Oryzias latipes: one gene and its partners. The protein of the gene in region 3 binds, or shares a complex with, the protein of the main gene of each other region. Links are inferred from orthologs where the notes say so. Each region holds a gene or a part of one and is shown on either strand. Other genes may lie near its edges.

Region 1 (4,353 bases), on a different chromosome or scaffold from region 3:
TTTACTGTCCAATAAAGTGAAACCATGTTCATAAAAATATTGCTCTTACTATTTGTATGGGAAGGTTAGACGTGATGTAGTGCAGGGATCATCAAGTTAGCAGCTGTTAGGACTTTTTTGTGCTACGGCTCACCTGAGACCTTTAACGTTTGATCTTTTATGAGGAGAAACTGAAATCCATGAACTGTACATGTCAAATTTCTGTGAACCCAGCTCACGCATACATACCAGTACCATGCCAGACAAAAGCTGATGTGAACTATGCGAGTGGCGCTCGCGGACCCCCCAGCGAGGGTGTGAGGAAGCAGCAGCAGCAGCAGCAGCTGATGTTCTCCAAGTCTGACATTTCACAGCCGCATCAGGGATTCCAAAGGGAACCGTCAAGTTCCTCTCTGAGCCTTTACCTCCACATACAAGTTTTTTTAATGGCATGTTGTTGTTTTTCCACCAGAACCAAACTGTCCTCACCGTGTCGAGGCTTTATTGCATCACTACACGCACACAATCCCCGAAACACAAACGCACATCCAGACGGATCACATGGAAGTGTTCTGACATGGAAAATGGGAGATTAATGGACAGACACATCAGAGGAGAACCAATCAAACTGCTTTTTATTGATTTTGACATTCAGGACCAGAGAAGTAGAGAAAGAGGAAACCGGCGGCGGTCCCCCCGGCGGCGTCCTTCCAGGCAGCCATCATTAGGGGTTGACCTCCAGCCACATTCCCACCGTCTTCGCTGTAGAGTCTTTTACTAAGGGCAGACCGCAGAGATCACGCCGCTGCATCGTCCTCCTGGGTCTGTAAGTTAATGGGCCTCTACAGGAAGACGGCGTGTCTTCTGTTCACTGATGGATGGATTGAGGTTTGAGAGAAGTTTGCTGCTTTTTGCCAGACTTCGTTTGTTTTTTAAGTGTGAGTGCATCTTCTAATGGCATATTATTGTTTAAGTGCATCTCTGTCATCTTTGACCCGCTGAGGCATTTCAAAGTGCTTCACAAAACCCCATAAGCTTTGCACCACACCCAAAAATTCTATAAAAGTCATTTTTACTAAACTGCAGGGACAGCAACCGGCTAAAGGCAGACTTTGCAGCTTTCAAACAGTTTCTGAGGACTGTAACATGTCTACGAAGAAGAAAAAATTATCTTTAAAAATTCAAGATAAAATTTTATATAGATAATAACTCCTGATGTGTTTTTATTGGTTCGTTTCATGTCATTTCGTTTCATTCTTGCATCAGACCGTTTGCGTCAGTGTGGTAAACTGCTGTTCAACAGTCGCCGGCAGGGGGCAGCAGAGGCGCGCGGCGCTCCAACTGGTCAGAAACACGAAGAAGAGCGCGCGCCGTGGCCGTCATTGTTTTGGTCCTCCGCCCTGCTGCTTTCTGCAAATCTGTTAAAGAGGAATAAATATTCACGGAAATCTTTTTGTTCTCCAAAATCAGGTGAGTTCATTTCGTATTTGTTCGGTTTTCTGAGCACTCTGTTGGCGCAGGCGCACTACAGTACCGTGTTTAGTCAAAAGTGAAAGCATATTATTTTCCTGCAGATTTCATCATAAAAACATTTAGTTTTTAAAATGAAATATATTTGGGACATTAAGGTCTGATAATGTTTCATAGATAACTGCGGTTAAGGTGTAATTACGTGTTTAGACTGTCCGTAAAGCTGTAATAAAGGCTCGAGCAGGTAAAGGGGCGTGGCTTCAGACTACATTCCACTTTTGAAAAAAGTCAAACTTGTTTTATTAGAAAAACTTTTACGAAAACCTTATAATAAACGTAGGGAGATGTAATAAGTCCTCATGCATAAGCAGACAGACTCCATCAAACTTTAAATCATCAGGAATTTCTGTTTGTTTGATTTTTATCTTTGATTAAAAAATAAGAAATTCCTAAATGTGTTTGAGTTCAACGAACATCACCTACTGAGTTTTCCTCCATAGCAGCATTTTAAAATGTCGTTCAGAGCAGCAGGATCACAAAGATGAACTGGATCCTAGAAGAAAATACAGATGACTGCATGTTTTTGGTTAATTTGTCTTCATTTTTGTGCTTTTCTGACCAACTTTAACCTGTTAATTCTAAAAGGAGAACAATTTAAATCACTTTAGGTGCAACCTTTGTGAAGAGGAGCCAGATTTATGCTGCTTTCTCAGCAGCCATACTATAATAAATGCAAATGAGTATTTTCATGTCTTCACAGAGAACAGATCTAAATATGTTTTTACCTAAATGACTGTGAATGTTTATGAATGTTTATATTTGAAGACCAGAGATGAAAAAGTCTGTCTGGAAAATTTTGGTCAACATTAAATCTGAATTTCTATGAAATGTTACAAACGATTCACTATTTCCAACATAAGTCACATGAATCTAAGTTATTCAGAAGTTCAAATCATTTTGGTTTAGATCTCAGAAACAATAAATCTCCTCGTTTGGCTCTGAAGCTCAAGCAGCTGCAGGTTGTTGGTTTTAACCAATCAAAATCCAGAAATCCTCAACCTTAGAAAGTTCTGAAGATTTTTATTGATTTAATGACAGGAGCCTGCAGAACGGGCTGCATATGGCGCTTGGTCCGGACTTTGGACATGCCTGCTGTAGACCGTTCTGTCCTGCTTCTGGAGGAATCATAAAGAAACTGATTGTGCAATAATTCTGTGAGATGAGGTATTACTCAAATGGACGAGTAATCTGTTACAGGTAGAGTAACTTGCAGGACGCTGTCATCGTCTCTGTCTGCAGCTGCATCATCGGTACAGCCGGTCACCATGACAACCAAGCGGGGACTCATCACTGACTCCTTCAAGGTGGTGAAGAAAAAGAAGAGAGAAAGGAAGCAGGAGAAGAGCCCCACGCCGCCCCCCCCTCGGACAGGTGGGGATCCTCCGGGTGTCCGCTGATGTGCGCGCCGTGCACGAGCCACGCGGCGTGCACGAGCCACGCGGCGTGCACGAGCCACGCGGCGTGCACGAGCCACGCGGTCACAGAAAGGTCACCTGAGGTCACAGAAAGGTCACCTGAGGTCACAGAAAGGTTACAGGAGGTCACAGAAAGGTCACCCCGGGTCACTGAAAGGTTACAGAAGGTCAAGAGTCCCATGAAAAGTGTCTCCTCCTCTGTCAGAGGGCTGTAAAAACGTGTTCTGTTTCTCTGAGTACAAAAACAGACGAGTATTGAAGAGACAAACTGTAAATGACATAGAAATAGAATCTTTACAGACATAATTATAAAGAGACATTAAAAAATAAATTCTACCTTTCAGGACTTTTTTGTTTGAAATCCGTTTTCTGCTTTTGCAGAAAATGTTGCAGACACCGTCCAGCAGGAGGCGCTGCAGAAGCTCAGAGACTTCGACTTGGAATTGAGATTTGGGCCGTGCACAGGTATGGAAGCAGATGGGGGGGCACGCCTTCAGTTTGCAGCTGGAGCAGCACTGGGGGGGTGGGGGGGTGGGGGGGTCTGGTTGATCTATAGGAAGCAGATCTAAACGTGTCTGCCGGACTTTGCTCCAGCCTCTAGAGATCACAGGAATGCTTTCATGTTAAATAATTAAACCTACTTTCCTCACATTTGACCTGAAATGGGAAGAAAAGAGACGGTTTTGGGGGAGCATCTCCTCTTGGAGGGAGGAGTGCAGCTTTCCTTCTCTGTTTTCAGGGATCAGTCGTCTGCAGAGGTGGGAGAGAGCAGAGCTGCACGGCCTGGACCCCCCCGAGGAGATCAGGGAGCTGCTGCTGAAAGCCCCCGCCGACCCCGAGTACAGCCTGAGGTGACACGTCCTGAAAAAACACACACTGTCCTACTGTTACGGCCAGCTCGTCTGCAGGCGGGTCACAGGAGTCCGGGTCACAGGAGTCCGGGTCTCAGGAGTCCTGGCAGAACCGCAGCGGCTCCTGAAGATGATCAGGAAGAAAATGCTTCTAAATGTTGAAATCCGGCTTTTCCACGTTCAAATAATGCAGACTTTCTCTAAAAAACGGAGATGATGCACTAAAAACTCTGACATCAGGGATGATTTTTAAAACTCTTTAATCTCAGACACAGATTTTTATCTTCTTTAAAAACTCTGACTCTTCATCTCCTTTATTTTCAGCCTGTGGAGCGAATATCCTTTGTGAGTCTGGAGGAGGAGGAGCCAAAGCCTGCAAAGTTCCACCTTTTTACGCCGTTTATCATCATAATGATCATGTTTCTGCATCACAACACGTTCTGTTTTTATGGACCGGTTCTGTTTTATTAAACAGGTTCTGCTGATTCTCTGGCTGCCTATGTTGTTGGGGGGGGGGGGGGGGGGGGGGGGGGGGGGGCTCTTCAGGTAATGTCACCTGCTGAATGTTTGGTATTAGA
Region 2 (4,340 bases), on a different chromosome or scaffold from region 3:
TGATTGGGTTTGTGAAAGACGCCTTAACTGCTCTTAAATGTAAAAAAAAAATACATATTCGTAACAAGGTGTGTAAAAATAGCCATCAAAACATACTTTTTTATGTTTGGCAGCCTGACAAAGTCTCTTCACGGACAAAACAAACAGTTTTCAAACTAAACCCCGTTCCAAAGAGTGTCTGAGCTGCAGAGATGCTCACCGTCCGTTCAGAGACAAGGCGAACTCCACACCCTCTCTTTGGAAGGGCATCAGACGCTGCAGGAGCTTGTTAGGAAGTCCTGACAGTTGCTGTGACCATCTTCCAGCCCGGCAGGAGCTCGATCCGCCATCATCCGCCATCTCGACCGGTGAGTGGTCCTCGGGCGGATCGGACTTTTAAAATGAAAAATAAGGTAAACTTCATTAATAAATGTTCCCAAAGTAATCCTCATAATTGGGTACAGACAGAATTAACAATAAAACAGGGGGGGGGGGACATTTATTTCTAAGACGGGGAAGAAAAATGTCCACCTTAAACCCAAATTCTAGCATTTAAAATTTTAATTTAGTTCAACTTTATTTTGTATGCACTTTTCCTGCTACAAACACAACAAAATAGCAAAGATAGTAAAAATAATAAAAATAAATAAAACCTCATAAACACCCAACACATACAAGAAAAGATGTAAAACAGCAAGAGGGCTGGCCCTCAGAAGTATTATTGAAAGATGTCCTGTTAAATGTATCAAACTGTATTCATATGCACTCAAACATAAACATCCTCCATGTTTTACTGATGTTGCTGCACTAAAAATAACATTTTTATTAGCAAGTGACCGTTTTTCCAGCTTCTTAAAGTCCCACTCCGATCATCCTTTCATCTATTTTCAAAATGGTTTTTATTTATGATTATGCCGTTTTTAGCCAAAAATCTGTGTCATTTTTTAGGACATAGTTACTGCAGAGCAGCAGGAGTATATTAAAAATTCCCCTCTGAGTTGTGGACTGTTGGCACCAAGAAGCAGCCCCATTCCCTCTCCCCGTCAACCATAACTATGAGCTCTCTGTTTACGCACTTACCCACTCGCTAACAGCCCCTCACACCCCCAACCTAATGTCACAAACATTTGCAATGGATGCATCAGAAGGGAGTGAATTGAAGTTTGTACATAAGAACTACAAGCTTTTTCAAACATCGTTTTATTGTCTGTTCCTGATTCACAGCAATTTTAATTAAAAAATACTCAGAAATAATATGTAAAGCTTAATATTCATTAAATATGTCCTTCATCGTCAGAGAAATGTCACAAGAACATGTTAAAAACACCAAGAACACAATTGTTTTTTTAATCAGAGTGGGTCTTTAAGGGTATTAATATGTCTCATGCAATATTAACTAAAAGTCAGACTCAATGTGGAACCAGGCGTGCGACTCCGAAGCGGCCTTGGAGCGTCTGAACTTCCATCAGAGAAATGTCGGATGTAAACACTGCTATCAGCTGTTATCCATACTGAAGACACCATCCTTCATAAAAAGCACACCACAGATCTATCAGAAAAATTAAAAGCATTTTTACTTTTTCCTTGTAGGGTTGATAGTTTTACTGCAATGAGTCAAAATTCCAGAACCACAAACAAAACAAAAATCTAAATATTTTCTTTATCATCTTCAACCTGTGGAAATACTGTACTACTGAATTTTACATATTTAAAAATATTTTTGCACATATGTGCACACCAACAATAAACTAAAATATAAATCGGAATCAACTTATTCCATAAAAATACTTTAATTATACAGATATGCAGATGAAAGTTGAAAAGGTGTAAAAACTACAGCTGTATATGACAATAAAATGTAAAACAGAAAAGAGGGAAAGATTAAAGAAAGAAAACAAAATACATCCTTAAAGTATAATCTCACAAAATCAAGCGAGAACTTAAATTAGGGCCATCTTTTCTCAATCCTGTCATCAATCAGTGTAATTAGTTTGAGGCCAGGGTTATTTGTCTATGTCCAGTGATTATATGAGAAGCACAAAGTCATTTTTAGAAAGTTTGGAATCTTGCTGTAGATTAAAAATAGTTGAATGTAAAGTAAAAAGCTCTCTAAATATGATTACTTAAATCAGATTTAAAAAATAAGTGTTCTTAGTGTCCATTATGAAGCCAAATAAACGATTGAAAACAAAGACATAAAAATACAATTTAAAAAAATATTTAAAAGTCCAGGTTTTCTGTGTTAAAACCTACCTTCTAGGCAATACTTTGCAAAACCAGCCAGTTTTTCTTAGTTTAAATATCTGCTAGCATGGCCAAAGACAATCTTAAATATGTATGTATTGATATGTAAAAAAAAAAAAAAAAAAAAGATTGAGATTATTGAGATACTGGAGAAAAGAAATCAGATTATGCCGCAAAAATTTAAACGCAGAACAAGTTGTGACGTCATCCAAAAGAAGTTGTATGGCTGACGGAAAGCAGCAGAGACCAAAATTAGGAGAAAAACTGTTACATTTTAACAACTACAATGAAAATAAGTGCAAAAACAAAAATACATAGGGCTTAGTAAGTAGTTAGAAGTTAAGAGGAGGAAACTATGAGGTTAAAGTTCATAAATGTGGTGTTCAATGTTAAAGAAGACACATGCTTGAACTTAAAATGCTCTTAAAATGAGTAAAGTTATAACAAAAAGGTTGATTTGTTAAAAATGTTTTAGTCTAAAGGGCCAATGTTATGATGACGGCCATGTTTTAACACGAAGAGGGTATGTTTGTAAAAAACGAACAGGTTCCTACCCGCTGAAACATCAAAAAGCTGCCTGGGACTTCAAGTTTCCGTCGCTTTCCCTCAGCCTTTATAATTCTAGCTACATTTGCACTAACATGTCTTAAAGTACCAACGAAATAACTTTCATTTCGCTCTGGGACGATGCGAAACAAATGACGACACCGTCAGAAGCCGCCAAAAAAAAAATCTACGTCCAGACGTGACATATTTTTAACAGCCCGCGTGCCGAGCGTGAGGCGCTGACGCACGAGCAGCCCCGCTGTGTCTCTCCTTCACTCCGCCGCAAACAGCGGCTGCTTCCTTCACCCTCCGCCAGATCAACGGCTGTTCACCTATAACAAAGCGGTAAGCCCACGTCAGAAAACCCCCGCACAACCGTCACGAAAAAAAAAAAACCCGGTCAGTTTTAGCCACTGGGTCGGCAGACAAACCTGACTTTGCGGCTGTCACGGCACCCTTTGCCGGCCGCTTTAGGTCGTTAGCCAGGTAAGAGTCGTTAGCTTAGCACCGACCGACTAACCTCGCTCTCCGACTTATTAAGTTGCCTTTTCAAATACAAACCTCCATCTAAAGCGCATTTAAACTCTGAAAGTCGTAGCTTAATTCGGCGTTTTGATGAAAAAAAAAACAACCTTTTCATATAAATAGGACTTAATTAATTAACATTTAGGCCTGCTTCGACTGTCTTGAGCTGCAGCGGAAAGTATGCTAATGTATGCAACTCCACCGGCCTAATAAGTGTCGTTTTTTAGTGTTTAATTGCAGTTCAAATCATATTTTTCATAAGCCGAATCTAAGATAAATTGATATACTAGAGTGTCGATGTGTTATAATTTGTAATTTGGGTTTGTAGAGTCGAAGAAACGAAGACAAAGTGAAACTACTACGTTTGTAAAGGGAGATTGGCGCAATGGAATAGCGAACAAAACATGCCTTAAAAGCACATTTTTAGCACTTCAGTAAACGTTTGTGTATACGATTTTTTTAATGTTGGGGTTATTTAAGCCCCAAGTATCCTGAGAACATGAAATAAAAAAATAAATTTAAAAAAATCAAGCTGCTGTGGGCAGGGCCGGCCCTGGTCTTCTGGGGGCCCTAAGCGAAATTTTATTTGTGGGCCCTCTAACTGATCTGCAGCACCAACAAAGCGCAACTGTTGTTGTAATATAAATGAAATATCTCCATTAATACATTTGTGAATTATTGTTGCTGCCGAAGAATTGAATACAGTATATTGCCTGCATGTTGGATGCACATTTAGTGGTGCACAACAAATTTTAAATGCAAAGAAATAAATATGAATGACAAAGGCATATAGATATATATTTTTTAATGTAACATTAGGCACTCAACAAATGACATTCACAAAACTCCAACTTATTTAAAACAGCAACTTAACAGAAAATCAAATAACGATAAAAAAATCCAACATAAAGAACACAACAGCTCAATGAGGGGGATTTTGGAAAGTCATAGTCTTTCTCAGTCTGAAAAGGACCTCTCTGCACCAAATCCATTCTTACTGGATCAGAGAGTGTGGTTGGTGATTCAGCTGGACCAACTGGACTGGA
Region 3 (4,594 bases):
AATAAAACATGCAAAGGAAATTGATTTGCGCGTCAAAAACAGCATGTCATTAAAATATTCACGCAGATTCAAGGCAAAACTAACAGAACTTAACAGACCCACAGTCTGATGTATTTGCATGAATATGTAGATTATCTTTGTTTCATTTGAAGGTGGTCCACTTTAATAATGCTGTGGGATGTAATTTCTCTGAAAGCAGGCTCAGAACTCAGATTATGTGGTTAAATCCCAATCAGACCATCAAAGTGAGCTGCTTTTTTGTTCACTGTACTGTAAAGCTCAACCTAACACTGTGGATAACCTGGAATATCTCATGCTGAAAAGCTGATTTTTTGGTCACGTTGAAACCTCTTCTACCTTAAAAAGGGGGAATAGCACCACCCAATGGGCGTTTTCTGGTTACACATCTTTTCCTCTGGGACAGGAGCAAAAAATAAAATCTATTTGAATTGCATACCAACAGATGAAAAATAACAAAAATATCTGAAGTTTGACCCACACACATGTGCACTTATTAAAGGTTTGCTAGTGAAACTATAAAGTGGACAGCAAACAACGTTTTTTAACAACTTGAATCCTTTATTTCCGATTGAATTTATGAGTACAAAACATTTGGAGCTTGCAGTGTGACGCCACAGGAATTATTTACAGAGGTGTTATCTACAACAGAATGGATACCTGCAAACAAACGGGATAAAAAGAGGGAGAGAACAGGCCTAAAACAATTGCTGGAAACTACGACAGATGTGTCTGCCAGCTACTCTGAGCGTCCCTGGACTTCATTTTGAGCCCAGGAACCTCAGAGTGACCACAGTTCACCACAGTAAGATCCCTTCAGTCCTTCAGGAGGAGTCCCAGTCATCCATCACCTGCATTCTCCCCCCTTTTCGGTCTGTGCTTCCAACTTAAGAAGCTTCCTCATCGATCTTCGGGGCCAAGTAGTATTTGATGTGTCCCATATCGGCAATCTTGTACTCCACCACTGTGAACAGATAAATGTGATGAGGTCGAGCTTCAGCAGGTGTGATGACGGACACACAACGTAAGCCACCTTACCAAGGGGGATATCAGCAGACATGCTAAGGGTTACAGTCTTTGACAGCGGAGTGGCCTTGGTGAAGAAGTTCAGATAGTTGAGAGCAAAAATCAGCTGGACGGGTTCATTCATCTCAATGGTGACCTGAAGGAAAGCGGGAAGTTACAAAACGATGTCAAAACAAACCGATTTTCCTCTGCAGGACAGATCCACCCCTCATACTTACGGCCTCTTCTTCTTTGTCCACATTGCTGGTCTGGGACAGCTTGATGTTTCCCGTGCCCAGCTCTCCCGAAGCGGAGAATTTAACACCGTCTTTGGCACAGGAGATCATGACGGCGTCGCCGATCTGCGACAGGTCACGGCAAATACGGGCGAACTCCCCGGAGGGCATCTTCACCACGCAGCTGTACTCTTGTTCCTGACAGGAGCAAAGAAAGTGAAGATCAGGGAATGCTGGGAAATACTGCAGAAGAGGTAATTAAAAAATACCTACTGGAATGCCCAGCTGCTCCACATCCAGGTCCATCAGCTTCATTTCATAATCTGAAACTTTTTCTTGGTCTGCAGGAACACAGAAAAGTGAAAAGGAGCATAAAGACTTTGGAGGATTTTCATCAGATGAACAGTTTCCGTATGACGAACAGTTAGAAACTTACTGATGGTCTCAAACACAAGAGCCAGAGTGTCAGCGGCGTCCTCCGCTCTGAGGGTGATGATGTCCTCATTTCCCGCACACTTCAGGATTTTGGACATACTGAGAAAAGCAGTAAAACATTTGAGCTTTTATTTGAATAGCAAAAATTTAGCTTTTATTAATGTCACCTTTTAATCTATAAGTATAAAGTACTATGTTTGAAGTAAATTTATTTTAAAAACGATAACGTGGTATGTTTAAAAAAAATGATCCAAGTATTTGTATCAACATGCTAATCTAATTCCGGAAACTCTTATGAAAGAGTGACGTAAGCGGAAGTGCAAGTTCCCGGGTTTTGAGGATTCCCGCCAACACTGCCGGCAAGAGTTTTGGCGCTAAAGTACCGCAGCAAGTGCGGCTCTGTGACAGCGCAAAGACATATTTGCACATGTCAACGTTTTAGACGTTTTGTTTTTTTGCTGGTTGAAATCAGCGAGTGGACAGTAAAGAGTTAACCGAGCAGGGAGACATGCCCGGGCTTCTCCAGCAAGATGGCCTCCTTTGTCGGCCTCACAACGATCGACGTTTCACTCGTCCAAGATGATTTTGGCGCCACACACGATTACCATGAACAATTCGTAAATGTCTGAACTTGAAGTCAGCCCCTGATAATCACTTTAAATACATTTAATAGGCAGAACACATGACATGCAGATTATACACGAAGCTTCCCTCTTATTAAACTTTGTTGTTTTTCTCCCCGTCACCTGCTAAGGTTGACTCCCATGGCGAGGTTTCTGTCGCAGCGGTAAGAGTCGAAGCCGTCGTGCCGGAGAGTGAGCTGCACCAGGGATACGTGAGACGAGTCCATGCTCTGCAGAGAGATGCCGGACGAACTGACGTCCCAGCAGGCTTCTGTGATCAAATCCTTCAGGGCTTCCAGGACCTTTTTCAGGATGGAGCCCTGGACCAGGCGAGCCTCAAACATGGTTATTCTGTGGAGGGTTGCGTAGATCGAAAAAGAAGGCAAAGGTTGGTGGAGGTTTTCAGCGCTGCTCCGGTAAAAGGAGGCTGCAGTGAGGAGTAATCACGACGTAGGCGATGACAAAGCGGCTTTGGCAGTTCAGTCTTTGTGTGGCACGCGGGCTACAGACGCGTCTTCTACAACAACCACAAGATTTGAGCTGGAAGCCCGCGCAAACGCCTGTTGTTTAATAACGCTGCGTCGTTGCGTCATTTCCGGACGTGTGACACACTTCCGTCAATAAAACGGAAGCTGGATGCAAATCTGCAAAAACATTTTTGTTTAGAGATTTAAAAAGGAATCTGCTTGTTGAAAAGAATTATTTTCACATTTTGGGCATGTAAAACATATTCCCGTAGTTTTTAATACAAATTGGGAATATTTCTGACTTTTAAAAATATTACAAAAATATTTTAGAATGAAATTAAAAGGTCTAATTGTTTTTGTTTTTAAAAGAAAGTGACCTCATTCTTAACAAAACACTGGTTAAATAAATGTTTTCTCTTGTTTGGTGTGGTAGATTATAATACTCTTAAAATAAAGTGAGAAGAGTTTTCTTAAGTCATCAGATGTCCTGCAAAAATGACACTAGTTACTATATTAATTAAATCTGAGGAAATAAGCTCCTAATGTTGATCAATATATGGAGTTGTTGTACATTTGTAACATTGAATGCCTGAATAATATTAATTTGTCTCATGTTTTACACATATGTTTGTTTTAAGAAAATTGCATCATTTACAAATGTACAAAACAAAAAGATAAACGTTTAAATGATGTTACTAAAGCATAATGCATAATATTCAGACTGTCTCGGGCCAAAGTCCTCTTATCAAAATCCCAAGGCACACCACCATCACTCACACACACACTAAAACTCTTTCGACTGCATTAACAATACGCATTCTCATCAAAGAGTCTTGAATAAGAATCAAATAAACACGAAGACAAATTTTTTGTATGATTTTTCATATTTCATGTTTGGATGAAAGCAGAGCTGATATTCTGGCAATTGTAAATGTTTTTTTTAGACCAATTAGACCAAAAGAGTGAAATTGAATGATTTTCTATGACACAGCTGATTATCCTTTCCAGTTTTCTTTTTATGTTTATATTGATGAGAATATATTGAGAAGAATAGAATTTTGCTGAGTAAGAAAAGTTAAAAAAATTTTTTTAATCAAGTATATCCAAAACATCAGTAAAACTTCATCTTCACATTTATTTTATTTGCTTAATTTTTAATATTATCACTGGAGCAAATATTCTGCCCCTTTTTTTACACCTTCTGCTCCTGAGTCTTAAAGATGCAAACCTTTACAGTGGAAAGTATCAATTTTACTTTCCACTGACTCCAACATCTTACTGAACAATACAGACTTTGTTAACACCGATTATGACTAGTTTAAATGTATGGAGCATCAAGTTTCTTTTTACTACTTTAACCTCATGGATGTTGTCAATGATTGCTTGATGTTTTATGTGGAATTTGCATTTTAATAAATAAGAAAAGCTGACACACAGATTCAAAACTAATTTTATATATAAAATTACACTCAGGAAATGTAATTTCTTCACCAGTATTTTCTTTGGCATTGTCTCAGTGCTGTTTTAATGAAAGTAAAAACACCTCAAACATTCTTGAGGTCACTGGTTCAGCTTCTGAGCTGCCATTTTTATATATATTTATCTGTGCTTCCTCATACAAGAGTTGTTCCAAAATTAGTGACACTACTCTTCAAAATAAACCAATCTGAACAATAAAGTTGCTGTAAAAACCTTTATTAGGCAATGTGCAGTTCTTGATGTGACACGAACAACAGGAAGTTTAAAAAAAAAAGAAGCTTTTTCCAAATACTTTTAATGCTCACAAAATGAAATGTTTTTGTAAGCAACC

The links. Proteins that work in one complex are often made in the same cells at the same time.
Region 1: the proteins of pcna (region 3) and pold4 are in contact, whole or in part, in a crystal structure (PDB 6HVO), measured with the Homo sapiens proteins. The link is inferred for Oryzias latipes from reciprocal best matches to the Homo sapiens genes PCNA and POLD4. Residues at the interface, in NP_002583.1 of Homo sapiens: Met40, Ser43, His44, Val45, Ser46, Leu47, Val123, Glu124, Gln125, Leu126, Gly127, Ile128, Pro129, Gln131, Tyr133, Asp232, Val233, Pro234, Tyr250, Leu251, Ala252, Pro253, Lys254, Ile255; in NP_066996.3 of Homo sapiens: Lys4, Arg5, Leu6, Ile7, Thr8, Ser10, Tyr11, Pro12, Val13, Val14, Lys15.
Region 2: the proteins of pcna (region 3) and zranb3 are in contact, whole or in part, in a crystal structure (PDB 5YD8), measured with the Homo sapiens proteins. The link is inferred for Oryzias latipes from reciprocal best matches to the Homo sapiens genes PCNA and ZRANB3. Residues at the interface, in NP_002583.1 of Homo sapiens: Met40, His44, Val45, Ser46, Leu47, Gln125, Leu126, Gly127, Ile128, Pro129, Asp232, Val233, Pro234, Tyr250, Leu251, Ala252, Pro253; in NP_115519.2 of Homo sapiens: Asp1071, Ile1072, Thr1073, Phe1075, Leu1076, Val1077.

The regions. Positions count from the first base shown.
Region 1 is NC_019859.2:1,163,402-1,167,754, reverse strand, and holds pold4 (DNA polymerase delta subunit 4), read left to right. Parts: upstream 1-1,315; 5' UTR 1,316-1,449; intron 1,450-2,706; 5' UTR 2,707-2,774; coding exon 2,775-2,880; intron 2,881-3,305; coding exon 3,306-3,389; intron 3,390-3,663; coding exon 3,664-3,775; intron 3,776-4,099; coding exon 4,100-4,124; 3' UTR 4,125-4,261; downstream 4,262-4,353. UniProt on the Homo sapiens protein: As a component of the tetrameric DNA polymerase delta complex (Pol-delta4), plays a role in high fidelity genome replication and repair.
Region 2 is NC_019860.2:17,688,879-17,693,218, reverse strand, and holds the start of zranb3 (DNA annealing helicase and endonuclease ZRANB3), read right to left. Parts: upstream 3,039-4,340; 5' UTR 2,790-3,038; coding exon 2,778-2,789; intron 373-2,777; coding exon 200-372; intron 1-199. UniProt on the Homo sapiens protein: DNA annealing helicase and endonuclease required to maintain genome stability at stalled or collapsed replication forks by facilitating fork restart and limiting inappropriate recombination that could occur during template switching events.
Region 3 is NC_019867.2:6,551,343-6,555,936, forward strand, and holds pcna (proliferating cell nuclear antigen), read right to left. Parts: upstream 2,904-4,594; 5' UTR 2,662-2,903; coding exon 2,441-2,661; intron 2,224-2,440; exon of another isoform or gene 1,794-2,223; coding exon 1,696-1,793; exon of another isoform or gene 1,607-1,695; intron 1,601-1,606; coding exon 1,533-1,600; intron 1,514-1,532; exon of another isoform or gene 1,458-1,513; coding exon 1,263-1,457; intron 1,181-1,262; coding exon 1,057-1,180; intron 983-1,056; coding exon 906-982; 3' UTR 559-905; downstream 1-558. UniProt on the Homo sapiens protein: Auxiliary protein of DNA polymerase delta and epsilon, is involved in the control of eukaryotic DNA replication by increasing the polymerase's processibility during elongation of the leading strand.